Cricetulus griseus: one gene and its partners. The protein of the gene in region 5 interacts with the protein of the main gene of each other region in a pairwise test. Links are inferred from orthologs where the notes say so. Each region holds a gene or a part of one and is shown on either strand. Other genes may lie near its edges.

Region 1 (3,919 bases), on a different chromosome or scaffold from region 5:
AATTTTAAAGAAGTTCCAAGCAAGCTCACCCTCCAGGTGTGTGGCAGGCCCTCCTACAACAGGAGGTCTGATCCGTAGGCAGCAGGCGCTAGCTTGTTTCCTGGATGCGGGGGCCAATGTGCCAGATTTTGCTGACGACACATGCTGGTGATGATGCAGCCACCCTCCCGGACAGGCCCTCCATTCTGACTCATCCCAGTTTCAGAGAAGGCAATAACAGGGAAAGACCAACACCCCAAAGGGTCCCCAGCAGACATACGCTTCAGACTCGACCAACTTAGGAAAATTTATTGTTTAAAACCATTCTCTTTAGCCAAGAGCAGAAAGCAGCCCTTGGGAACAGCACTTAGAGGCACATCTGGTCATTGTCCTGTGTGTGGTTATGGAGGGGGACTGGAATGAAGGGAACAGGGCCTTCTAGGGACCCACACATGACCCTCTTGGGCAAGGCTCATGTGCCAAGGCAAAGCAGGTTACATTAGCTTAGCATGAGGAGGGACCTCAGGGCCTTTTGGCCTTGTGTTCTGGCACCTCCTGGAAATTAAGCAACATCAAGCCCACATTGATGGCATAGGTGGTAATGCAGACAATGCAGAAGTCATAGAGCACAAAGAACAGGATCCAGGCCAGGTAGACAGAACCGGCGAAGGACACCAGGGAACTCAGTACCAGTAGGAGAGAGGCCCAGCGTCCCCTCAAGCAACCTGTAAAACAAGACAGGATCAATAATGGTACATCTAGAACTCTGCCATGCCTCCCCAGTGACAGACGGATGGCACATGCATCTGGTAAAAGTTCTCTAAGATAGGATCTGATGGGCCTTATCTGTTCAATAATCCTTGGGACCCAAACAGTAAGTACTCCTGCTAAAGTCTATATTCGGTGAAATACAAGTCACCTTTGGAGTCCCCTCAAAAAGCATTTTTAAACTGGATGTTTATGCCTATAATCTCAGCACTTGGGAGATGGAGACAGGAGATTCAGCAGTTCAAGGTCAACCTGGAATGCATGAGACCTTGTTTCAAACAAAACCCCAAAAAACAAAAACCAGTTAGGTGTGGTAGAGTACGCATTTAGTACCAGCACTCAGGGAGGCAGAGGCAGGCAAATCTCTGTGAGTTCAAGGCCAGCCTGATCTACAGAGGGAGTTTTAGGACAGCTAGGACTGTTTCACAGAGAAACCCTGTTTCCAAAAAAAAAAAAAAAACAAGAAACAAAAACCCAAGAAGCTAGGCATTGTTGGCACATGCCTTTAATCCCAGCACTAGAGAGGCAGAAACAGGCGGATCTCCGTGAGTTCCAGGCAGCCTGGTCTCCAGAGCAAGTTCCAGGACAGGCTCCACAGCTACAGAGAAACTCTGCCTCGAAAAACCAAGCCAAACCAAAACACAAAACCAAATAAAAAGAAAAAAGAATTGAGATGCTGGGAAATCCTGGGGGGGGGGGTTTCAGCCTCTGGCTTCCTGAACTAACTAGGATGCTGGTGTCCTCCTGTTTTGTCTCCTTGTGACCAGGTTGCTCAGTGATTAGCAGCTGACTGTCAACTGTCTGGGTCACCAAGGCATGGGGTGGGGCTGATCTGAATTAGGGAAGACAGGTCATGAAGGGACAAAGCCACTCACCTAACAACAGCTGTATGGTGTAGAAGATGCACCCAAATATGCTGTTGGATTGGTTGAGGACGCTGTCAGATCCTAGCACATGTTCCACCAGCCCAAAGCCCTTGCCCCACCTGGTGGGAGTGAAAGAACCCTGGTTAAGTGTGGTCAGCCTAGTGCCTCTTGGGTTTTATCCTGGAAAATCGATTAGCAACACTCTCCACCCACTAAGAATTCAAAGGTCAGTGACCTGGTATGTCACTGGCTCTATCCTGGCTTGTCATCACAGACCATCTGTAACTTCAGGAGCTGGTGAGATGGCTCAGCAAATAAAAGTGCCTGCTGCCAAGCCTGTCAACTGGGTTGAATCCCCAAGACTCACAAAATAGGAGGGAACCACCTCCGATTTCCACATGCATATAGTGGCAAGCAGTGCCACCCCACAAACTCAAAAATACGGTTTTTTTCTTAATTTTTTCATCTTGATCGTCCTTTATGGTGACCACACTGGGACACCTGGAGCACAATCTATTTGCTTTGGACTTACATGGCTACAGTTCCCTCGCCACCCACTAACATCCGGTCCTCCAGCACAACCAGAGTGAGCCACCTTTGTCCCTGAGCAGAGCGATGCTCCACCACCTCCTCCCGCTTTGTGCCATTGAGGTCTGCCCTGCTTCCTCCAGTTTTCCAATCAGTTATTCACTGGCATCTTCAGAATGCGTTCAAACAGCAGTATCTTCTGAGTGGTCCAGCCTCTGTGCACGTCCGATTACCCACCAAAAACTCCTGGGGCAGTCCACTCTCAAAGTGTCCGTTCTGCGGACACTGCGATCCCAGACTCCAAAATCATCCGGCAACCTGGCCGTCAGGTACACCTGGCCTTCAAGGACCCCATGCTTTCCATTTCCGCACGCACCGAGAGGAGAAGACGCGTGAACAGCTGATGGCCGTGCCCACGTCGCAGAGAGCGCGGTAATCCTCGTCTCGGGCGCGCGCCGCCTTCACGTGCAGCGCGTACAGCGAGAGCGCTAAGCCAGCGAGGCAGAGTGCCAGGCGCCTGCGTCCCGGGCTCCTCCAGGTGGTGCCCATGTTGGCGGCCCAGACCAGGAGCCGGAGGGAAGGACCCGCCACGGGGCGGGGGCGGGGCCTCATATGGCCACGCCCCTCCGCCCCGAAGGTTGACCCGCCTCGGCTGCCATTCTCCTATCCAATTGGTTGTTTTTAGGCACGACAGCTGGGAATGCTGGGCTGGTAAACTGGATTAAGGGACCTGGGGAATTCTTGGTACGGCAGCTGCTAGGCATGATGGGAATCGTAGTCGGAGAGGCTGCAAGACATCAAGGGGAATGGAGTCTCTAGAGTGGTAAAGCTACTATTAATAGAACGGTGCTTAGCGTGTTCTCTATGCCAAGCCCTGTTTTATGCATTTGGCATGTCTAGAGATTAACGGACTAGTGGAATCCAGCGAGAACTGTGATGCGACTCAGGAAGCATTTCCCCTGAAATTGTTTCAGATGCCATTGGGCTGTGACCTGAGCTTCCAGGTAGCCGCCAGCCGTCCCTCGCGCCTCACCAGCGCCCCTTGTGGGCAGAGCGGGCCCTTCCCCTCACAATAAATCCCGTTATCTTGGCCACACTGCTGGAGGTTTCCCAGACCTTGCTACCGTTGTGGTGCCCTCTTGGCAAAACCCGAGCCTGAATCAACGCAACACTTCCTCTGATATTATTTCACCTTTACAGATATTCCACCCTTCCCACTTGCATGGAGTTCCTTCACTAGCTCCCTCTACCTTTCTATCTTACTGTAAGATTTGGGAAGATTTTATATTTCCCGTCTTCCTTATCACATAATAAACTAGCTACCCCAGAACATTCCCCTAACACCTAGTTGCAAGCAGGACCAGGACGTTATGCCCAATGGTTTGACCTCCAAGTGGTATTAATTGCTGCTTTAAAGTACCTATTTCTTCCTTGACAGCTGCCCTCCTCCTTGGCTGCTCCTTCTCACATCTACTACTTTTATTTCAGAGAATGTGCTGGGCACAAACGTCAGTTTCCAAAGATTCTTAGAACTAGTGACTATGTTAGGCTGTAAGACAAAAAGGGAATTAATGCTGCATAGGATCAAAGTGGGCACCCTGGTGTTTCATTTTATTCGTGTTGAGGCCAGCCTGATCTGCAAAATGAGTTCTAGAACAGTCAGGACTGTAAAACAGAGAAATTGTGTCTCGGAAAACAAATACAAAAAGTATTCATTTTATTTTTCGTGTCATAGGATTTTTATTGTTTTAGGATTAGCATAGAGAATAATGGGTTGA
Region 2 (4,268 bases), on a different chromosome or scaffold from region 5:
GAAGTTCTGGCACAGGACAGGATAGGGAAGGGACAGGAAGCTTACCTGCAGTCACTGAGTTCTCTGGGCCTGTGGATACAGAGAGTTGTTTCTGTTAGCACAGAGGCCTCCAGGAACCTACAGCAGACCAGCCAGGATCAGGGACTTGGGGTCAAGTCAGGCTACACTTGGCATATTACCCGCTCAAGTCTCAATGATGCCCTGATGTAAAATTGCCTGCTCCAGGAAAAGGATGAATTGGAATTGTAAATAGTGCTTAGGTGACTTGGCACCAGTGACAAGATGTAGAGTCCCTTGTGTATCTCAGAGCCCAGCAGAAAGTCCAAGATGATCAAGTGTTCAGTGGAAGCCTTTCCACTCCTTACTCTCACTCTATCAACTTCCACTCAATATTGGATTGCAATTAGGGTGTGTTGCTCTCATATCAGTTGGTAGGGACAAGGCTGCATTTGTGTTAGAAGATAGGCTGAAGGTAGCAAAAAGCCTGTCAAGAAGGTGATGGAAAACCCAGCCATCACACCCCATATTGAACACCTGTACAGTGAGTCAAGAGGGTCCCCACACTCACTGGTGAAGAATTGTTGAATTCGAGGAAGGCCACCACCAGGACCACCCAGGAGGATGGTGACTAGGATCCAGGAGAGACCCATAGTGATGATTAGGGCCACGATGCGAAGGGGGCCTGCAGGCAGGACAGACATAGGGCAGGTCCATCTCAGACACCAGTGAAGAAACACAGCAACAACCCACTGCCTCACATGACTAGATCTCCCCTTCTATTTGGCAACAAGTGATGGCAGGATCGAAAGGTGGAGGAACCATTGCTACCCACCAGACCCAAGTAGGAGACATGAAATTACTCCTGGTGGAGGGAAGAAAGTGAGTTTAAATGTTGAGGTTACTATGGTTTTCCCCAGCAGGTTTGGAAGGACTTTTTAGAACTCATGCTCTGGACAGGTTCCATATTACCAACCTCAGCATCTTGCCTCTGAAACTGTCAGTGTATTTACAGCTCACCCATCTGTCTCTCCTTTCCTCTTGTTCTGATGAAAGATCTAAACTTTTGAAGACCAGTACTTCTGCTCGCTTCAAGATCCATCAAGTTCTCTCCTGTCTCAGGTATGTTGTGTTAAGGCTCCTTCTTTCTATTTCACTTTCATAATATTAACAGGTCCTAACTTAATAACATAAAGATGAAACAGAGCTCCTGCAAGAAAAATCTCATCCTTTAACTCCTCACCTTCCACTTCCCCACCAAATTCTTTAAAACTTTATTCTTTGCTGGGGATATAGCTCTGTGGTACAGCATTTGTCCAGCATGCATGAGACCCTGAGTTCCATCCCCAGCATACACATTAAAAAAGTCATCTACATTGTGATTTCTATCATCTCACCCTCCACTCTCCCAAAATTCATCCAATGTAGTCTTGCCACCACAACAGCAAACAAATGACCTTCCAAACCAGACCACCCATGACTTTCATGATATCACATTTCTGATTGCCTGCCTGCTCTTTGTTGACATCTGGGTGGGCTACCCTAGCCATCCTGATGCAAACACTTCACTGCTAGCTTTTAGCACAGTCTCCTGACCTGAGTCTTTGGGACTTTCTCTTTTTTGGTTATGTCATCTTCCATTACTCTTTCCTCAAAAGCTAGTCTTTTCCAGGCTGCCTTCTCCTGTCTGCATACTCTCTTTATGGGAGATTTCATCTACCACAATTATCAAGTTAAACACCATGCAGCAATGACACCTTATTTTCTGGCTCTAGTCCTGATCAATCTTGAACCCACATCCTCCCTGTCAGTTCCTTATAGCCCTTACCAGCCCTTATCTATGAAGTTGCTACCTTATCAGTTCTTGAATTGTACTCTTACCCCAATCAGTCTGATCCACGAACCATTTTCATCCCCACAAGGTATCTTAGTTGTACAGCTGACAGCAGCCACGCCTCTCTGCTCTACTCTCCACCCCTCCCCACCCAGACACTAGACTCTTTGGAACCTCTTTCTCACAAGTCATTTTCCAAAACGCAACTGGCCTGTTACTTGAGTTGGGTGTAAGTGACTATATATTAATCCTTAACTTATAGTTTGGGAAGCTGAAATCTTCATAGGTGAAAGAATTTGCTCATAAAATAAGTGTTTGTGCACAGTCATCCATTAATAAATAACAAACCAGTGACTACCTGGGCCCCTCCTGACACAACCACTATGACGTCTGGACTCTCTTCCGTTCGCTGTGGAAGCCACCCACCTGCCAACCTCATGTCCACTTCTCCCACTGGGTTGGGACCTCCGGCAGGTGCACTGTTTGGGGACCGTGGGCTCTGAGAGGAATGAAGCAGGAGAGTAGGTTGGGTGGTGGGGTAGGGACAAGTCTGTGCTGGGCACGATCGGTGCTACAACTTGTTCCTCCAGACACCAGACCAGGCTCAGTTCCTCGTGAGCACTGGGAGAAGCACTTCCTAGCCAGCAGGGCTTTGGAAACCCGTCGCGGCTCTCAGTCTGGCTAACAGAAGCCTCCAGGACTGGAACGTAGCAATTGTTCTCCCTGACTCGGGCCCCTCCCGTGCTAGGCCCGGGGATCGGGTCGGTCCTGTTGAGGCTGCCGGCAGAGACCCGGCAGGCCAATGACGCTGCCTGGGTGTAGAAGGACGCAGATTGGATCAGGGATTTTCCAGTGGTCTCGATTTGCGGGCGAGGTGAAGCAAACGAGTCACGCAGAGAAGCTTGGCCAGCACGACAATGGCGGCCCAGGGAGGGTCACAGCCCACAGGCGCCGCTCCGCCATAAGCCCACAGGCTGCGCTGTGGGGCCGCAGGTCCCCACGCAGGCTCCGCCTTCAGACCCGCCTCCTCCCTCTTCTCCAGAGGCTGGGTGGGAGGTGCCTAGAGAGGCTATTTCCCTTCAGCTTGTACTCAAGCTGAGCCACCTAGCTTCCTGGAAAGAGCCTGAGTCATTGCTGCCAGATGAATCTCCTATACTTTTTTTTGAGATCGGATCACACCCTATAGTTCATGCTGGGATTACAGGTGTAAACCACCACAGCCAGCTTCCCCGCTGCCTCCACACGCTCTGTTTGGCGGGAGATCTTCTATTTATACAATTGGTGAGCCGAAGCTCTGCTTGAGACTTGAGATCAGAGCTCTCATGGCTGGTAAGAGAATGGATCTGGGGACGTAGATAATGACATTAGGTTAGCATGTGTTTTTTAAGAACACGGAAAGTCCAGAAGCACATGTGGAGGTAAAGCAAAGCCTGAGTCCCAGAGAGTGGCCCTTTGGTTGCTTTCTTTCTGCTCTGATTTTTTCCCCAGGGAGTCTTTTTTTTTTTCTATTTTATGTATCACTCAGTGTGGGATGTCTGGAATGTAACCCTCGTTCCTCTTGCTTGAGCTTTCTGTCTCGACCACCTACACTGCCAGGGCAGCTGAGACAGTTCGTTCAGCTGGAATCATCTGTCTCCTCAGGCAGCAGCTGGACAGAAGTAAAACAGCATTCCTGTCCTTTGACCCAATGATCCCACTTACAGGAACTCCACCACTTTTAGGTAATGCTCCAAAATATAGAAAAAGTTTATAGAAGCACTGTTTTGGTTAGAACATAGCATTTTCAATTTTGGTACACCTGTAATCTTGCTACCTGGGAGGTGGAGGCAGGAGTATCAAGAGTTTAAAGGCATCCTCGGCCCTTTATCAAGTTTGAGGATAGACTGAGATTCCTTAGACCTTGTCTCAAAAAAAAAAATGGTGGGATAGAGATGGCTCAGCGGTTAAGAGCACTAGCTATTTTTCAGATGTCCTGAGTTTAATTCCCAGCAATAGTGTCTCACAATCATCTGTAATGAGATCTGGTATCCTCTTCTGGCCTGCAAGCATATACATGTAGGCAGAACACTGTATGCATACTAACTAACTAATTCAGTGTCAATCATTTGTTGTTGTTTTCGAGACAGGGTTTCTCTGTGGCTTTGGAGGCTGTCCTGGAACTAGGTCTTGTAGACCAGGCTGGTCTCGAACTCACAGAGATCCACCTGCCTCTGCCTCCTGAGTGCTGGGATTAAAGGCGTGTGCCACCAACGCCCAACTCAGTGTCAAGCATTTTTTAAAAATGGTGGTAATGGAGTCAGGTGTGCTAGTTTATGTCTGTAATCCCAGCATTTGGGAGACAGAGGCAGGAGGATCAGAAATTGAAGGCCAATATCAGCTAAAAGTGAGTTTGTGGTCAGCCTGAAGTGCATGAAAACCTATCTTTAAAAAAATTGTT
Region 3 (3,500 bases), on a different chromosome or scaffold from region 5:
CTCACCTCACCACACTTGGTTGCCACCCCAGCCTCTTTACCACAAAGATGGTCAGCGCCAACTTAACCTGCTGGGCTCCGTAGGCTGCAGAAAAGGCAAAAAGAAGGGCCCCATAAGAAGAAGGTTGGTGATGGGGGTCACGGGATGAGGGCACTGTCTGGGCCCACTTACTAGGGGGTGTGTAGAGAGGGTGGTTGATGTAATAGGCCATCCATGCAGCAAAGCCCCAGTAGTAGGTGCAGTTCTGAAAGAGAGCAGATGAGTGAGCCTAGGGAGGGCGGGTGCTGCTGGGCAGAGCAGAAAGAATAAGGATGCTCACTTTGAAGATGTTTCGCAAGGGCATGGTTCCGTGAGAGAAGCGGTGCACGAAGAGGGTCTCCAGCAGACGCTTGACGTAGTGGGATGAGTGGCAGATGCAAGCGAGGCTGGTGGGGCAGCTGATTCAGCTGGGGTTGCTCCAGCCCTCCACCCGCCCCGCCCCCTCCCACTCTCCTGTGGGCCCCACTCACTGCACCACTGTGTGCCGACTGGACGTGAAGTCGTATTTGTGGCCATAAATGAAGGGTACCCGGAAGTAGAAGAGCAAGTAGATGAAAAGGGGCCCAGCATACTCAGTCAGGAAGACCTGGGAGTGCCCAGAGACAAGGTGAGTAACCCCAGGGTGGCTGAAGGCAGAGACCAGGGAAGGGGTCAGGGCTTACCGTCACCCAGCTGATCTGTGCCCCCAGGTCCCGGAAGAAGAGTGTGGCTGTGGTGCCCACAGGAAGCTTCTGCAACACATCTTCATCTTTCAGGGACTTTCCCTCTACAGAAATCAGTCAGTATTCAGATGCTGCCCTGGGTTTCTGACCCCAAGAGCCCAAGGGAAAGGCTGTACTCACTGGGGTCCAAGCGGAGGGACTGGCGGGCAGGGTACCACTGCGGGTCTGCTAGGAGAAGGTGAGGTTGCAGCACCCAGTCTGGCTGGGTTCAGCCTGCCCATCGTAACCCAGCCTGCCTCTCAAGGTTCCCAGAATTCTGGGACCCCCGGCTCTTCCCACCCTATGCAAGAACACACCCAAACAGCTACAGATTTTGTCCTTTGAATAACGCAAGAGCATTCCTGCAGGTGGCCACACGGGGGCAGCCTGCCCAGTCAGAGGGGCCCCATTCCCTGCTCCAGTGTGCTGACAGGCCCTCTCTACAAGTCCCTAAGGAAGCCCAGGTCTCTCATCCAGAGGGGTGACAGGAGTGGGGATAGAAGTGTAGGGCCTGCACTCACGCGTCTTGGTGAAGAGATTCTTGATTTCAGCAATGGTGGCCTGAGGCTCCACCTGAGAGAAAACAGACTATCAGTCCCAAAGGAGCCCCAGATCTGGGACAGGGGTGCCAGGCACAGGCGGTCAGGATCACGCCAGCTGGCTTCAGCAGGGTGTATCTGTCTTCCACCTCCTTCACAGACACAGGGTCCTTCCAGGCTGCCTTATCCCTTCCCCTACCAGGCAGCCAGCTCCCAGCCCTATGCAGGGGTCACGATTACACGTTCTAGCTCAGTGGTTCTCAACCTTCCTAATGCTGTGATCCTTTAATAAAGTTCCTTGTGTTGTGGTGACCCCGAGCAAAAAATTATTTCCTTGCTATTTCACATCTGTAATTTTGCTACTGTTATGAATCACAATAGAAGCATCTGATATGCAGCCCCACAGGGGTGGAGACCACAGTTTGAGAACTGCTGCTCTAGATGAAGGCAATACCCCTTGTGTGCCCTCTGAAGGACAAGGGGGCCACCAATGTCTGCACAGCCCTACAACTTCACCACCAGGGTCACAGTCCTACCTTGTCCAGGAAGCACAGCTTCTCCCTCGTCTTCGCATCCAGAATTTCCACCTCAAAGAAGAGAACCGCCTTTTTATGCTTCTTGGCTATCTTGTGGGGCACGGGCATGGGAAGACCATCGAGGCCTTGGTGGGCCTCCTTGGCCACCATGCTCAAGCTGATATCCATGCCACTGTCGGCCCTACTGCTCTGCCTACCAGGCTGTGGCGCCCACTGCCAGCCACCAGCCCCCACCTCCGACCTCCCCTCACAAAGCTGCTCTGAGCTGGGCTGGGCAGCATGATGAAACTCTGCCTCGGTGCTGGAAAGGAGCCTGTGTCTGACCAGACCCAGCCAGCTTCAATGCCAGATGTAACCCGAGTGGCACCAGGGCCCGGCCCGGCCCGGCTAAATATAAAACCATCCCAAGTTCCCCCGAAGGAGCCACACCACAGTCCTCCCCTGGGGGCTACCCTCATAGAAGCAGCTGAGTGGACACTGGGCCTCAAAAGCGCCAGGGACAAGAAAATCTCCCAGAGATGGGAAAAAGCACACAGCCAGTGGCAGGGGTGGCTAGCCCAGGCCCAGTGCCCAGCTCTGGCTGACAGGTTACTGGACCTGGGGAAATGCCAGCTGTCTAGAGAATCTGAGAGACAGATCATGCATTGCCACTTCTAAGCTGTAAGGGACACTGGATTATTTCCCTTGTGCATTTGTGTTCCCAGAGAGGTGACAAATTCCAGAGTTATCGGTGCACAGTTCCTTTTCTAAGTATGGAGAGGAAAGAGTGAGCAAGGTTCTCCACCCCTCTCCTCATTCTCAACAGTTCCACCCACACCTGCTTCAAAACCACCTGCATGGCAGTCTACCACATCAGGCCAACATCAATGTGCTCACCTCACCCATGGATGAGTCTCGCTGCAAAGCCTTCAACACACAACCCAGGCCTGCCGATACCCCTAGGGTCCACAGTCTCCAAAGGAGAAATACCCAGGCTAGAGCCACTCAGTGGTGCAAAGGAACAGAGTAAGAAAACAGCCCCAGGAGATCTGAGCCACCTGTCCCAGAAGGTCAGAGAAGGCTGCTGACATGATGGTCTGCACTGTCCATAGTAGCTGGGAGAGGCCTGGGGGTCCTATGGGGATCTGTGACTTCTCATTCTCAAGGATGGGGACATCACAGGCCAGAGAAGCTGGTCACTGCCATCTGCATGCTCCAAAGAGCAGAGGCTAAGATAGTCCTAGGGTCTGACCCCAGGCCTGGCCTGCTAGGGGTCCCTGAGAGGATGTGCATGAACCAACATGGTGCTGGCACAAGGGAAGTATGTGCGTGTGTGTGTGTGTGTGTGTGTGTGTGTGTGTGTGTGTGTGTGTGTGTGTGTGTGCGCGCGTGCGCGCATGTGTGCATGTGTGTATGTGTGTCTGTGGCCCCACAAAAGTGACTACCTGGTGATTAGGTAGGGAGGCCCCATGGAGGTGACCCTACACAGTGAAGCAGCCCTGCAGGGCCTAGGCCTGGATTCAGAGCAAGGCTTCTATGCCAGCCAGTGGCACCCAGGCCTGCTTGCCCATCTATGCCAGAGCCTACATCATGGACACAGCGCAGGAGAGAGTACAGAAATCACTTGCTATCCACTGCAAACTCAGCTTCACCCTGTGGCCTGAGGGGCAAATGACTGAACCACATAAGGACAGTATCAGACCAGA
Region 4 (3,955 bases), on a different chromosome or scaffold from region 5:
CCTGGACGGTGACTAGAAAAATAGAAGTGATAATATACAAATAAATCCCTCATTTGTCCTCAAGTCTCAGCTTGCCTAGCTATACGGTTTCTTGGCTGGTTTTCCACTGTAGGTTTGTACAAAGCTAGGGACCAAAGCCTTCTTAGGATAGTTTGCATGAAGCCAAGCCCAGAAGACCTCAGGGCAGAGCCCCCAGGCCTGTGCTCTCTTTGCACAAGGCTTAGCCCTTTTGGGCGTGCCCAGAACCCGTCTCGCCCAGAACCCGTCTCACCTGGGCTTCTGGCTGAACTTGCATTTGCACCTTCCACCTGTTGGAGACGGATGTGGTCAGAGGGAGGAACGCAAGTCCCTGCCCTGTTCACCCCCCACCCCCCCGCCAACGGCCCCTCCTGTACTCACTCAAAAGGACTATGATGCCCACGGCACAGAGAATCCCTGCACAGATGAGCCCGCCGACTCGGAGGTTGTACCAATCTGAGAGGGAAGCAGAGAAAATGTCAAAGACAGCCTATGTCCCCCACCCAGTCTATCTAACTTGAGAGCAGTGAAAGGGAAAAGCAAAACCCCAGCCCAGTAGTGCGCACATTGCCGTTCCTAACCAAGTAAACAAGATATTCCATGTCCATTCAGGGACAGAGAGGCCATCTGAAGGGAAAAGATCAGTGTGGAGACAGGAAGTCAAGATGAGGGTCTTTAGAGAGAGTGACCAAGCAAGGGCTCTCTGAGAGGGTCCCACTGGAACGGAGATCTGCAGGGAGGCAGAGGTGGCCCTGAAGACACACGGAAGACAGTGGTCCAGGCAGAAGAACCAGCAGGCGCACAGGTCATGAGATCGGCGGTTGCCTTCTGTATCTGAGGATGATAGCTGGAGCAGGGGTGAGGGTCCGTGGAGAACGAGAGGGCAGGGGGCAAGCGGCAGGGGGAAGTGGAGAAGAGTGGGGTAGAATTCCCTACCTTGTCTGGGAAAAGTTTCATGACCAGCATTCTGGTGTTTGGTCTAAACCTAATGCCTCTTGTGGACTGGACTCAGTCCTGTGTCTGTCTTGAATTCCCCCTCACGGCTATTCCTGTAACCTATCTGGATGTTCAACCACCCATTTCCCACCTTCTCCTGTCGTGGTCCCTGGGTCACTGTGAACTGTCAGTCACCCTTGTGTGGGCCGCTTGGCACAAAATAATGTGTGGGACTGAGAAGAAGAGAGGAGGGGACACGGTTCTTACCATAGTAGAAAGGGCTGTCCTTATCTGCAAAGAGAGACAGGACACACCCATGAATCCGAGGCGCCAGCAGGGTCTAGGGTGAGGGGGGTGGAGGGGTGGGCTCTGACTCACCTTTGGGGTCATTGGCATCCAGAGAAGGCAGGCCTGTGGGGGCAAGTAAGGACAAGCGATGACTATGGTGGCCCTAGAAGGGCCCTCAGCAGGATCCATGGAGGTTTGTTGCCTGAGGGAAAATGTTCCATGTGGAGGTGGGGGAGCAGCCCCACCTCCAAAGTGTACAGGATCTAGCTGCTGGCTAGTCCCACCTGGACACGCGCCTTCATGGAGATGTGGGCTCACTCACCCACTCCTCACCTGTGAGTCATGCCAGCATTTTGCCACCGGAAACCGATCCTACTCCGGGTACATTTTGGGACTGTTTGAGTGAATGTTTCCAGAGGCTCTGCCCTTCCAGGTAGCAGATGGTCTCTGTTCCCAGGACAGCTTTCTCCACGCCAGCAATGCCCACAGCCCACAGCCCTCACAGCCACACCCCACAGTTAGCAGGGCCGCTGACCTCTTTGAAATAACGCACCGTTGGCAACTTCTATTCATTCTTACATTCCTTTCCCAAACAGAATGAAACTTGTGTCCAAAGAATGGTAAGGTAAAAAGCGGAAAAGCAGGGGTGGTGGTGGAGAGAGATGGCCCAGTGGTTAAGACGACTGATTGCTCTTGCAGAAGACCCGAGTTCAGTTCCCAGCACCCACATGATGACTCCCAAACATCTGTAACCCTGGTTCCAGGGGACCTGACACCCTCTTCTGGCTTCCACAGTCACCAAGCACTCAAACGGCAAAACTCACATATGCATAAAATAATATTTTTAAAAAAGTGGCTAGCTCCTCAGAAATGATGCCAAAAGCCATCCCCTGGCTGCCACACCCCAGGCACACAGACATAAGCACACCTGCACACATAATGAACGCACATAGTCATGCACACACAAAAGAGGCCGAGGGGGGAAAGGAGGAAACACGACAGAAGCAAGGGCCAAGGATTAAATTCTGGCTGAAGCTTGTTCAGCTTCGTCCCGGGCCTGAGTTCTGCTAAAGGGAGAAAAACAATGCTTAATTATATTTGAGGCATGAATGCCTGGGGCCCACTCCACCCAGGCCCTGCCATATTGTTGTTCAAACATTAACGCATTGAAGCCTCACGAAGGCCCTATGACTATGTGCTGTTCTCTGTGTTTTCAGAGGAGGGGAAACTGAGGCTCGAGGCATTCCAGTTACCTGCTACATTGCTGCTAGGGTCCTAGGCACAACTGGGAAGGCCATGTAGGGAGGCCGTGGCACACAAGAGTACCGGGCCGAGCCTTTGGCTTGCTGTCATCAAAAATTAAATGGCATCTCCCCACATGCACGAGGCTGCGAGCATGTATGTATGCATACGTACACACACACACACACACACACACACACACACACACACACACAGCTTGTCACCACACAGCTGAGAGGTCCAAGGGAAAGGGCAGCTTGGTGGCCTGATACCCACCTGCTAGGAGGACCAACAGGCTCAGAGCGACCTCTTGCATGTTGCAGCGTTGATCTAGAGGAGTCCAGAGAACAGAACTTTAGCGGGGTGACCAGGACGCAAGGCCCCGCACCTCTGCTTCTCTATCCCACCCCGCTGTTCACCAGGAGCACAGCCCAAGGTCCAGACAGGAAGGCTGGTAGTGACTGGTGCTCACTCACAGGCTGGGAGATAAGGAGCCCCAAAGTCAAGTGGGGGCTGGGTGAGAACTCACGCTCCACAAAGGAACAGCCATTGTCATTGTCATAATGAATCTGTTCTTGGAGAGAAGAGGTGGAGTGGTGTTTTGCTACGTCCGGGCCGGCCTTGAATTTGCCATCCTCCTGCCTCAGCTCTCCAAATGCTAAGGTTAGAGGTGCCCACCTCCACATCCAGCTTGTCACCCCTATCCGTATGATGGGGAAACTGAGGCTCTAAGAGATGAAAGCTGATGGCCAAGATCACTTGGTCCAGAAGGCAGGGTTTCAACAAAGCCTCGTCCCTCACTAGCTGTTCATAACTCAGAACTGTGAGGGCCTCGGGGTGTTTTGGGGAGTAGGGTGTCAGGAGCCAGGTGGCAAGAGGCCCGGGTTCCGGGAGTGGCTCCCACAGACAGCTTGGAGCCTGCCCAAAACACGCTGCCGGCTTCTCTCTGGGGCCTGAGCAGATTCCCTGGGCTCCTGGGTGGGTGTATGGCAGAAATGATGCCAAGTTGATGGGGCGTGTGCAGAGGGGGATCCTGGCTTTAGTCTTACCCTGTCTCCTGCCCCACCCTTGGGTCTGTCCCTTCAGACCCCACTGGGCACTCTCTCAAGTCCAATCTTTGCCCCCTACCCTAGCCTTCACCCTTGACTAGGCCTCTGCGCTCGCTCCGTATTATCCCAGCTCTTGGCCCTGTTGGGCTTCTCTCAGCAGCAAACGCTCCACAGTTCCCCAGTGAGAATCACTCAGCACAGGGCCCCTTCCATACAGCGCTGGCCTAATAGTCTGCCTTTCCGTTACCCTAGAGGCCTCTAGTCAGCTCCTTCTCTCTGAGCACCTCCCCCACTTGCCCTGCTCACCTGTCGTGAGCTCATGTACACACACACACACACACACACACACACACACACACACACACACCACACACACACAAGATAGTGAGTGCTAACACTTGTCCCCATTCCTCACATGCTGG
Region 5 (2,753 bases):
ATATATATGTATGGGTATATAAAAAATAATACACCTTGGATGACCTTTTTCCCATCTTCTCTTAGGTGGAGGAACAGGTTCTCAAACGGATACGGAGAAAGATTCGAAACAAGAGAGCTGCTCAAGAAAGCCGCAAGAAGAAGAAGGTGTATGTGGGAGGGTTGGAGAGCAGGTAGGAAAGGAAGAGCATGGGGAACAAGTTGGAAGCCTTAAGCTTTTGAAGGGAAGACACAGGCAATATTTTGATATCCATGTTATCCTCCAGGGTCTTGAAATACACAGCCCAGAACCAGGAGCTGCAGAACAAAATACGAATTCTAGAGGAACAGAATCTGTAAGCAACCATTTATAGTCATTAATTTTTAAAATCTTTTTAATGATTTTTTACTTTTATGTGCATTGGTGTTTTGACAGCATGTATGTCTGTGTGTTTGTCGGGTTCTCTGGAACTGGAGTTACAGACAGTTGTGAGCCGCCATGTGGGTGCTGGGAAATGAACCTGTGTCCTCTGCAAGAGCAGTCAGTGCTCTTAACCACTGAACTATCTCTCCAGTCCTGTCATTAGTTTAATGCTGTCTCACTCTTTCCACTATTCCACCCTTGACTTCTAACTGGATTGCTCCTAAATTCAAAAATCTGGTGGTTGGCCTTTGCCAGGTCTCAAGCTCAGAGTAATGGGGAATAAATTTCCAAGTAGCTAAGAAGAAATTAAGTACCAAGACAAAGAGGAAGTAAGAAAAGACTGAATGGAGGGGCTGGAGAGATGGCTCAGAGGTTAAGAGCACTGACTGCTCTTCTAGAGGTTCTGAGTTCAATTCCCAGCAACCACAAGGTGGCCCACAACCATCTATTATGAGATCTGGTGCCCTCTTCTGGTGTGCAGATATACACGGAAGCAGAATGCTGTATACATAATAAATAAATAAAATCTTAAAAAAAAAAAAAAGAAAAAGACTGAATGGAGGTAGTCAACATCAGAGCAGTTGCAATGGGGGTAGGAGGGGCTGAGTGGGGAAAGCATTCTAGGTGGAGAGAAGACAGTGTTTGTGTTTGCGTTGGCCCAGAAAGTAGAGAACACAGTACCTGGTGGGGATTACATGCATAGTTGATCACGTATTAAGAGAATTCTGGAAGGTATTGGCAAAGGAGCTTTAGTCAAGGCAGGGAAGTTTTTATTTTTTGTTTCAATAAGGAACCACAGGTCCACAAAGAAGTCATTTGGGGGGGGAGGGGGGATGGCAAGGAAGTTAAGAGATTGGATCCACTGCACCAGTGGAGAGAGTGGCTTAAATGGGGGTGGGGAGGAGGGTGGTAGGGTGAGTTTCATTGTGACTCAGTGCTAGACCAGGGCATGCTCACCACTGTTTCCTCTCTCTTCCCTTAGGTCCCTTCTAGATCAACTGAAGAAACTTCAGGCCATGGTTATTGAGATAGCAAACAAAACCAGCAGCGGCAGCACGTGTGTTCTGGTGAGGAGAATGGGACGGCAGATCATTTTCTTGGCAGAGATGGGGTGTATGACCCAGAGCCCTTCATCTCTTTTTTCCGTGTTCTAGGTCCTACTGTTTTCTTTCTGCCTTCTTCTTGTACCTGCTATGTACTCCTCTGACACAAGGGGGAGTGTGCCAGCTGAGTATGTTGGTAAGAGGCTGAGGACCTTTAAGGCATGGGCTGTGGTAAAGGGTGGCTTCTGTCTTGTCACTTGACAAGGCTTTGTCTCTTCAGTGTTGCACCGTCAGCTTCGTGCCCTTCCCAGTGAGGACTGTCATCAGGAGAAGCTGCCTGCCCAGCGGTCAAAGTCACTGAAGGACAGCACAAGCCAGCTGCTGGGTAGCTCAGAGCAGATGCTCCAGGCCTCCAGCAACGCTTCCTGCCTCCTACACTGCATGCCTCAGGCAGAGCCACCCCTGCACTGGACATTCCTTGATCTTTCCTCAGAGACCCCCTTCTCAGGCCCCAACCATCCCCTGAAGGCAAATCTTTCAAAGAAAGGGGAGTGGCTGCCTACCCACAGCCCTTCTTCTGTTGTCTTGCTGGGCAGGCATTCATGTTAGATTTGAGATGCGGGGTACCCTCAGCCTGAGGATTCCTGTCAGTATTCAAATAAAAAGGAATGGGGGAAAGAGCTGGCCTCTGCTCCTGTGCCCTATTAGGATGCCTGGGAGCTCAAACACACCATACTTAACAGTTTTATGGTCTTTTATTTATACTCATGTATATCTGTTGTTCCATGAATAGACTTGGAGAAATTTACTGGCCTTGAATATTTCATCCACGGAAGGAACGGGGAGGGTAAGAAATAAATAAGTGGTTCCTTGGCCCCTTTTTACTGGCACAGTTGGGTAGCAAGAAGGGAAGGGGCTTGATTGTCCTAGTGGCTCAGGGCTGCAGGAGTGGTGGGAGGGAGGAGGAAAGACCAGTGTATTGGCTGGGCTTCCACAGTTCAGGGGGATCACTCTGGGCTTAGGTTTGTCCAAGATTTCTTTGGTTCATGTTCAGGCTCTGTGCTTAGTCTTGTGCCCTGTGTGACAACTGGCCTTTTGCCCTTTTTATGCTGCTGCTGTTGCAGGGCCAGCTGCATGGCCCAGATGCTCAGCGGCCTCATGTAGGCTAGTGAGCGGAACACTTGCTGCTGGCAGTATGCCTCTGGGGTCTGGAAAGCCAGGCCCAGGCGTTCCCATACAGTGCGGTAACAGCCCTCAGCTGTCCGGAAACCTTCCCGAGTCAGACCCTGTGGGGAGAGGTAGAAGTCA
Region 6 (4,042 bases), on a different chromosome or scaffold from region 5:
GTGCTTCATAAAATAATCAATAATACCACAGCATCGTGGTACTTGGCATATGATACATCAAACTTTTATCACCAGTGTAAGGACAGAACGGTCACAACCATATCCTCTGGCCCATGTATCAAGAGACATCTGAGCTCATGGACCTGGGGGAAGACAGTTGAGTGGGGGTACATTGTCAGTAGGGAGAGGTAGAGTTATTATGGCTGATTCATTTTCATTGGCTAGTACAAACCTAGAAGTTTCTATCTATATCTACACCAAAGATCTTTAGACACATTATAAAATCCTTCTTATCCCTCTGCCCACTGCCTTTTTATGCAAAGAGATAGTAATCTGGATGCTCACTAAATCTCTAAAGCATGCTGGGAGGGTGGTGATAATAAAAAAGAGTGTAGGTACAACCTGTGGGCAAGGCATCACTGGGATTTTGTTTTATAAATTGACTGGATGGTGATTGCACAAGATGAGAAGACTGGAAAAGGAGGGAGAAGAAAACTAAAAGTTTTGCTTTACGGTGACAAAGAGGCTAAAAACCACAGTGAGAACAAAACTAGAATATAGGTGTGGAGTCTCTCTGAGCCGGGGAGACAGCAGCTGGAATCTCGCATCCTACGTTGTTTTCTGAAGAGAAATCAAATCTAACTAACAAAGGCTGCCTCTGTTTCAGGTCAAAGCCAAAGTGATAATGAACTCTCTGAGCCTCTTTGCTGCCATTTCTGGAATAATTCTTTCAATCATGGACATACTGAACATTACAGTTTCTCATTTCCTAAAAATGGAGCGTCTGATTCTTAGTAAAACCCCCAACCTGTATGTTGATATCTACAACTGTGAACCATCTAATTCCTCAGAGAAAAACTCCCCATCTACACAGTACTGTTACAGCATGCAATCTGTGTTCTTGGTAAGTATGAAAGCGGTGTTCCTCCGGAGAAGAAACGTGCTGTGTTTTATTATGAGCATCCATGCTGGGTCCAGGTAGTCTGTGTCTGCACTTTTCCTGCACTTGGCTTTGGGCAAGAACCCTCCTCATATACTACTTTCCTTTCCCCAGCTGTAAAACAGGGGGAGTAAGACTATGTGTCTCCTTGGATTGATGTAGAAACAAATTAGTTTACATAAGCAAGGCACTTGGAATCATTTGTACCCAAGAGTATACTTGTGACTTGATTATTTCTTCTGAGGAATGGGCTTAGTGTGTAGCCCTGGCTGCTGACTATTTAGCCCAGACTAGCTTCAAACTCACAACAATTCTGCTTCTACCTCCTGAATGCTGGGACTACCGGCATGTGCCACCACACCAAGCTTTATGTGGTCATCGTTCACCTTTGTTAATATCATGGATGACATTAATAATTTTCGATAAAAATATGGAAGAAATTCATAAACTGTTATTAATATGTTTTCTCCCACAGAATTTTTGAATGCAGAGTTTAAAAGGGAAAGGCAATACATCTCCCAAGTATTGTGGAGTTTCCTTGGTGTGATGTCACATATTCTAAAGCTGATACAATTTCTTCTGAGACAGGGTCTCCTGTAATCCAGGCTGGCCTTCACTTTGCTGTGTAGTCAAGAACAACTCTGGACTTCTGGTCTTCTTGCCTCTAACTCCCCTAGTGCTGGGATTACAGGCACATGCTACCATACCTAGTTTACATAGTGGGACTAGAACCCAGGACCTCAAGTATGCTGGGCGAGTACCCTACCATTGAGCTACTGTACCAGACCAAGCTGACAGAATTTAATGTGGAACTCTTTCTTACAAAAATTGATTCTTCAGTTTCCTATTCCCACCTTACTTCCTTGTGTTCAGCCGTTGGGTTGTAAAGATGCTATCTTTTATAGCAGCCATTCCCCCCAGCTCTTCATTTCACTCACCTGAAGAACTGAGCTGAACTGTTGCTCACTGAGTTCCAGTCATAGTCATCACTGTGCACTAAGTCCATCCAGCTGCCGTTACCTCATCTTTACCTCCATTCTGTTTCCAGGGCATTTTGTCAGTGATGCTGATCTCTGCCTTCTTCCAGAAACTTGTGACAGCTGGAGTTGTGGAAAATGACTGGAGAAGAATGTGCTCCAGACCCAAATCTGTAAGTTGCAGTTCCTTGTCCATAACGTCCTTCTTAAAACTTAGTATCTACAAAGAATTGTTTACATAGAATCTAATCTGACAAAAATTCTGAAACTAGGAGCTTCATTTGGAATAAATGGCTTTGCTGTATTTTTTGGAAAACAGAAAACAACAGTAGTGGCAGCAAACGTTTTGAAGTATAAGTAAGTCTATGGTTAGACAGAAGCTACAGTTCCACATGTTGCACAAGTTTGCCTGCCAACCAGCTTTTCCTTCTGGTTGACTCCAGACTCCCGGTCCTGCCCCGTCTTAGTTATTGTTTCATGGCAGTGATAAGACAGCATGGCCAAGGCAACTTATAAAAGAAAGCCTTTATTTGGGGCTGACAGTCCTGAAGATTAGTTAGAGTTCATGACTATTATGGGGAGGAGCATGGTAGCAGGAGGCAGGCATGGCTCTGGGGCAGTAGCTGAGAGCTTATATCTGATCCACAAGCAGGAGTCAAAGAGAGCTAACTGGAATGGCACCAGCCTTTGAAACCTCAGAGCGCAACCCCAGTGACACATCTCCTCCAACAAGGCCATATTTTGACAAGTATTCAAAGTTTTGAGCCTATGGGGGCCATTCTTACTCATCCCTTGATCACATGCCACCCCCATCTTAATCTGTAACATAGGATGACTGAAGACAGGAGGCTGATAAAGTCATTGGTTCTTGGATTTTTCATTTTTCCACTCTCCTCCCATGCTCTTCACCTCATTCCACTTCCAAGACATTAGTATTTCAAAGCATCTCCAAAGCTAGAAAACATGAATGCTCTAATAGTAGCTCCCTTATAAACTACTGTGGAACTCCAGACTATAAGATTTAGTTTATGGATTAGAAGCCATTATGATTACTTCATTATACAGATTGGGAGAGGGTAGAATGAGGGCCTCTTCCCAAGGTTATGATCACCAAAGGCAAATCAGTTCTAGAATCCAAACTCCTCTCTTTTTGGTATTATTTTTCCATGTGGTATGATTATTCTAGGCAAAATGGCAAAGGCCTGAAATCCTTAATGATTACCCCAGACTCGAGATTTAATAAGGAGGTGATTTGATGAGAATTTGTGCATCTAAGTAGCCAATCCTGCTATCTATAGTATATGGTTAACTAAATAAAGAACATGAGAATAAGTTGGCATTTGGATACATGTTGATTGTTGGGAGACGTGTCAAGGGTAAAGGTCAAGAGGCATTTGTTTTTGTTCTAGAATGTAGTTCTGCTGTCAGCTGGAGAAAAAAAAGAACAGACAATTAAAATGAAAGAAGAAATCATTGAGCTAAGTGGAGTATCTTCCCAACCAAAAAACGAAGAAGAAATTGAAATTATTCCAGTGCAAGAAGAAGAAGAAGAAACAGAAATAAATTTTCCTGAACCTCCCCAGGAACAGGAATCCTTGCCAGTGGAAAATGAGATCGCCCCTTAAACTCTCTTTTATAAGCATTATTGTTTAGAGAGCTTCCAAGACACATAGTTACCCCCATTTCTTGGTCTTCCACATGTATTTTCCATGTTTCCACAGTTTATCTTTGCATAGAGAAGCCATATCTAGCTTTCCTTCACATTTAGATGTAGCAATTGTAGCAAACTGTGTTGTCCCCTGCTTGGGAGTCTTACATCTGCAGAAATGCTGCAGAACCCAATTCTCATTCACCTTTTTCTTGGACAGGCATTTTAGTAGAAGTAGTGCTTTTCCCCTGAGTCTTCCATCAGCAACTGCAGCTGCAGGGAAAGACACGTGACTGTTCCATCCAACTCTGAACTCTCTGACTCCTTCCTTATTTACATTTTTAGGGGAGTCCTTTTTGCACTATTGTTTTAAGGAAAGTAGAAAGGAAATGAAAGAGAACAAGACACCTATGTTTTCAGGGGAGCAGACACTGTGGCATGTTCTTCAAGCTTCTGTATCCCATTTGGAAAGCCGTG
Region 7 (2,638 bases), on a different chromosome or scaffold from region 5:
CAAGCACAGTCCAAGATTGCAGCTACCAATGCCACCACCACCTGCCCCCTGGCCAAGCACTGAAGAGACAAAAGAGTAGGGCCCGTTTCATGGACAACAGAGACATTAAGATACTTCTAGTGGGGCTGGAGAGATGGCTCAGAGGTTAAGAGCACTGACTGCTGTTCCAGAGGTCCTGAGTTCAATTCCCAGCAACCACATGGTGGCTCACAACCATCCGTTATGAGACCTGGTGCCCTCTTCTGGTGTGCAGATATACATGGAAGCAGAATGTTGTATACATAATAAATAAAATAAAAAGATACTTCTATTGACTGTTAGATAATGTTATTTATTATTTCACACAAAAGTTGGAGACCAAGGTTACAACTATTAAATACCTCTTTCCCACCCACCCCTCAAAAGACAGCCCAACTTTGTTAGAAACACACACACACATACACAACAAAATACCACCATTCAGGTGAGATGCGGGAAATAATAAAAAGAAACACAAGACCCAACATCTTTGCACACTGATATCAACATGGCCATGACACCAGAGGAAAACAGTCACGGCCAGTTAACACGGATGCCAACAACAAAGGGCACTGGGCTCAGAACAGCTGCTACTTCAGGCCATGTTTTGTTTTTTTCTTTTTCTTTTTTGGTTTTGAGACAGGGTTTCTCTGTGTAGCTTTGGAGCATATCCTGGCACTCGCTCTATAGACCAGGTTAGCCTCAAACTCACAGAGATCCACCTGCCTCTGCCTCCCAAGTGCTGGGATTAAAGGCATGTGCCACCACCTCCTGGCCAGGCCATGGTTTTGGGGCTCTACAGGAGTTGGGGCTGCTGGTTTCAAAGTTCAGGTCACTGGCTGGATATGCTTTTGGTGAGGGAAAAATGTGTCAAGCATCTCCCTCCATTGCAGAGAGAGAGGAGGGCACAGGGAGGGGTCTAGGAGCCTCAAAAGTTTCTTAGAGCCCCAAGAGAAGACAGCCAGGCAAGATTCTCTCCTACAGAAGAGAAGGCCCTTCATGGATAGAGTTCACAGCCCCCGGGGGCTAGCACATTTGCTTTACATGGCATAAATTCCCACTGCCACTGTTGCCATCAGAAAGCTAAGAGTCAGGACCCATCGGAGGAGTGGTGCCTGGGATGAGCTAGTGCTGATCTGGGGCTTCCCTCTGGATGTCTCTGCAGGTGTAGAGTCTGAAAGAGAAAGATAGAAAAGGTCAAACACATGCAGCCCTGGCTATATGACATTAAAGTACACAGAGTAAAAGGATACTTAGTGTGTCTGTCTCCAGGACAGTTCCAGGCCAAGACCACAATTCTGCTAAAGCATAGAGTGTCCATCTTCAAAGCTAGGAGCTCACTTATTCTCAAGCTGTTCATCCTTCATGCCCAGTCATTTCTATCAAGGAAAGTCCCCTGACTCAACCAAGTAGCTAACTCCATCAACTGGCCACATTTCAGCCCACTAGAAACAATACTAGTAACAGGGCCATTATTACCTCTCCCAGTTGGGAGAGCCTTAGGCATAAAGTGGGTTAGGATGGCATTGAGCAAGACAGCTTCACATAACCTGTCCTGCCGCCCATACTCTCATCACCCACTCCCTGTGCCACACTGTCCCAGAAGTGACAGGCTCAGGGAAGGCACGTGTTTAATCCCAGCATTTGGGAGGCAGAGGCAGGCGGGTCTCTGTGAGTTCGAGGCTAGCCTGGTCTACAGAGGGAGTACCAGGATAGGCTCCAAAGCTACACAGAGAAACCCTGTCTCGAAAAACCAAAAAAAAAAAAAAAAAAGAAAAGAAACACAATCCTGCCTATTTGTAAAAGGTTGAGACAAGAAGATTGTTTGATCCTAGGGTTTGAGGCCAGCCTGGGTAACCTAGTCTGACTGCCTCAGAAAATGCTTGGGGGGACTGTCCTAAATAAAGGATCTCTGCACCAGTGACTTCTAAGGGATTTCTGTACACTTCAGCCAATGCAACTATAGCCCAACCATCTGATTTCCCAATGTGGGGAAACTGAGGTAGAAGGCCTTACAGCTCACCCAGTCACCCTGGGCCCTTTTGTCTGTACACTATTTCTAATTTAAAACATTCAGAAAAGAGGAGAATAAAGAAATCACAGAGACAGTAGCTGGGCCATGTTCCTGCCAAGAAAAGCCAGAAGCAAGAGGGCACCTTTACCTTGCACCAGGCTACCAGGCCGCTGGCGAGGGCCCTCCATCTGTGAGGGGCTCTGATCCTTGTGGTCCTGTGTCAGCAGCTCCTGGAGCTCCTCAAACAGCTAGAAGATAAGACATACTGCCATGTTAATTTGACTCAGTGGTGGCCCCAGCTGAAGGCAGAGCTGGAAGCATGCTATGAAATATTGTAGAAACGACACAACTTAAGAAAATGATCTCCCCCCAAGAAAAAAAAAAAAACAAAAACAAAAACAAGCCAGGCATTGGTGGCACACACCTTTAGTCCCAGCACTAGGGAGGCAGAGGCAGGCGGATCTCTGTGAGTTCAAGGCCAGCCTGGTCTCCAGAGCGAGTGCCAGGATAGGCTCCAAAGCTAAACAGAGAAACCCTGTCTCGAAAAAAAAAAAAGAAAGAAAAAGAAAACTATCACACACCCATGCATTTTTAACCTACCTCATG

The links.
Region 1: the proteins of Creb3 (region 5) and Vkorc1 interact in a two-hybrid assay, tested with the Homo sapiens proteins (2 studies listed by BioGRID and IntAct). The two-hybrid records come from large-scale screens. The link is inferred for Cricetulus griseus from reciprocal best matches to the Homo sapiens genes CREB3 and VKORC1.
Region 2: the proteins of Creb3 (region 5) and Fam3a interact in a two-hybrid assay, tested with the Homo sapiens proteins (2 studies listed by BioGRID and IntAct). The two-hybrid records come from large-scale screens. The link is inferred for Cricetulus griseus from reciprocal best matches to the Homo sapiens genes CREB3 and FAM3A.
Region 3: the proteins of Creb3 (region 5) and Tecr interact in a two-hybrid assay, tested with the Homo sapiens proteins (2 studies listed by BioGRID and IntAct). The two-hybrid records come from large-scale screens. The link is inferred for Cricetulus griseus from reciprocal best matches to the Homo sapiens genes CREB3 and TECR.
Region 4: the proteins of Creb3 (region 5) and FXYD domain-containing ion transport regulator 3 interact in a two-hybrid assay, tested with the Homo sapiens proteins (2 studies listed by BioGRID and IntAct). The two-hybrid records come from large-scale screens. The link is inferred for Cricetulus griseus from reciprocal best matches to the Homo sapiens genes CREB3 and FXYD3.
Region 6: the proteins of Creb3 (region 5) and B-lymphocyte antigen CD20 interact in a two-hybrid assay, tested with the Homo sapiens proteins (2 studies listed by BioGRID and IntAct). The two-hybrid records come from large-scale screens. The link is inferred for Cricetulus griseus from reciprocal best matches to the Homo sapiens genes CREB3 and MS4A1.
Region 7: the proteins of Creb3 (region 5) and Hmox1 interact in a two-hybrid assay, tested with the Homo sapiens proteins (2 studies listed by BioGRID and IntAct). The two-hybrid records come from large-scale screens. The link is inferred for Cricetulus griseus from reciprocal best matches to the Homo sapiens genes CREB3 and HMOX1.

What each region holds. Positions count from the first base shown.
Region 1 is NC_048596.1:72,881,105-72,885,023, reverse strand, and holds Vkorc1 (vitamin K epoxide reductase complex subunit 1 precursor), read right to left. Parts: upstream 2,693-3,919; 5' UTR 2,691-2,692; coding exon 2,518-2,690; intron 1,733-2,517; coding exon 1,623-1,732; intron 705-1,622; coding exon 502-704; 3' UTR 501-501; downstream 1-500.
Region 2 is NC_048604.1:1,323,706-1,327,973, reverse strand, and holds the start of Fam3a (protein FAM3A), read right to left. Parts: upstream 2,801-4,268; 5' UTR 2,271-2,800; coding exon 2,258-2,270; exon of another isoform or gene 2,190-2,257; intron 683-2,189; coding exon 569-682; intron 70-568; coding exon 46-69; intron 1-45. UniProt on the Homo sapiens protein: May act as a defensin against invading fungal microorganisms.
Region 3 is NC_048596.1:160,825,530-160,829,029, reverse strand, and holds part of Tecr (very-long-chain enoyl-CoA reductase), read right to left. Parts: intron 1,867-3,500; coding exon 1,816-1,866; intron 1,314-1,815; coding exon 1,262-1,313; intron 930-1,261; coding exon of another isoform or gene 927-929; coding exon 882-926; intron 806-881; coding exon 702-805; intron 626-701; coding exon 510-625; intron 426-509; coding exon 320-425; intron 245-319; coding exon 172-244; intron 85-171; coding exon 41-84; intron 1-40. UniProt on the Homo sapiens protein: Involved in both the production of very long-chain fatty acids for sphingolipid synthesis and the degradation of the sphingosine moiety in sphingolipids through the sphingosine 1-phosphate metabolic pathway.
Region 4 is NC_048602.1:4,720,095-4,724,049, reverse strand, and holds the start of FXYD domain-containing ion transport regulator 3, read right to left. Parts: upstream 2,801-3,955; coding exon 2,761-2,800; intron 1,366-2,760; coding exon 1,333-1,365; intron 1,246-1,332; coding exon 1,222-1,245; intron 475-1,221; coding exon 400-474; intron 309-399; coding exon 272-308; intron 64-271; exon of another isoform or gene 13-63; coding exon 1-12. UniProt on the Homo sapiens protein: Associates with and regulates the activity of the sodium/potassium-transporting ATPase (NKA) which transports Na(+) out of the cell and K(+) into the cell.
Region 5 is NC_048595.1:99,950,819-99,953,571, reverse strand, and holds the end of Creb3 (cyclic AMP-responsive element-binding protein 3), read left to right. Parts: intron 1-65; coding exon 66-172; intron 173-265; coding exon 266-334; intron 335-1,384; coding exon 1,385-1,469; intron 1,470-1,556; coding exon 1,557-1,641; intron 1,642-1,725; coding exon 1,726-2,054; 3' UTR 2,055-2,253; downstream 2,254-2,753. Other genes in the region: Gba2 (non-lysosomal glucosylceramidase), read right to left, coding at 2,453-2,731. UniProt on the Homo sapiens protein: Endoplasmic reticulum (ER)-bound sequence-specific transcription factor that directly binds DNA and activates transcription. Plays a role in the unfolded protein response (UPR), promoting cell survival versus ER stress-induced apoptotic cell death.
Region 6 is NC_048596.1:49,205,625-49,209,666, forward strand, and holds the end of B-lymphocyte antigen CD20, read left to right. Parts: intron 1-667; coding exon 668-904; intron 905-1,988; coding exon 1,989-2,090; intron 2,091-3,326; coding exon 3,327-3,542; downstream 3,543-4,042. UniProt on the Homo sapiens protein: B-lymphocyte-specific membrane protein that plays a role in the regulation of cellular calcium influx necessary for the development, differentiation, and activation of B-lymphocytes.
Region 7 is NC_048596.1:150,866,393-150,869,030, reverse strand, and holds the end of Hmox1 (heme oxygenase 1), read right to left. Parts: intron 2,281-2,638; coding exon 2,181-2,280; intron 1,193-2,180; coding exon 1,059-1,192; 3' UTR 501-1,058; downstream 1-500.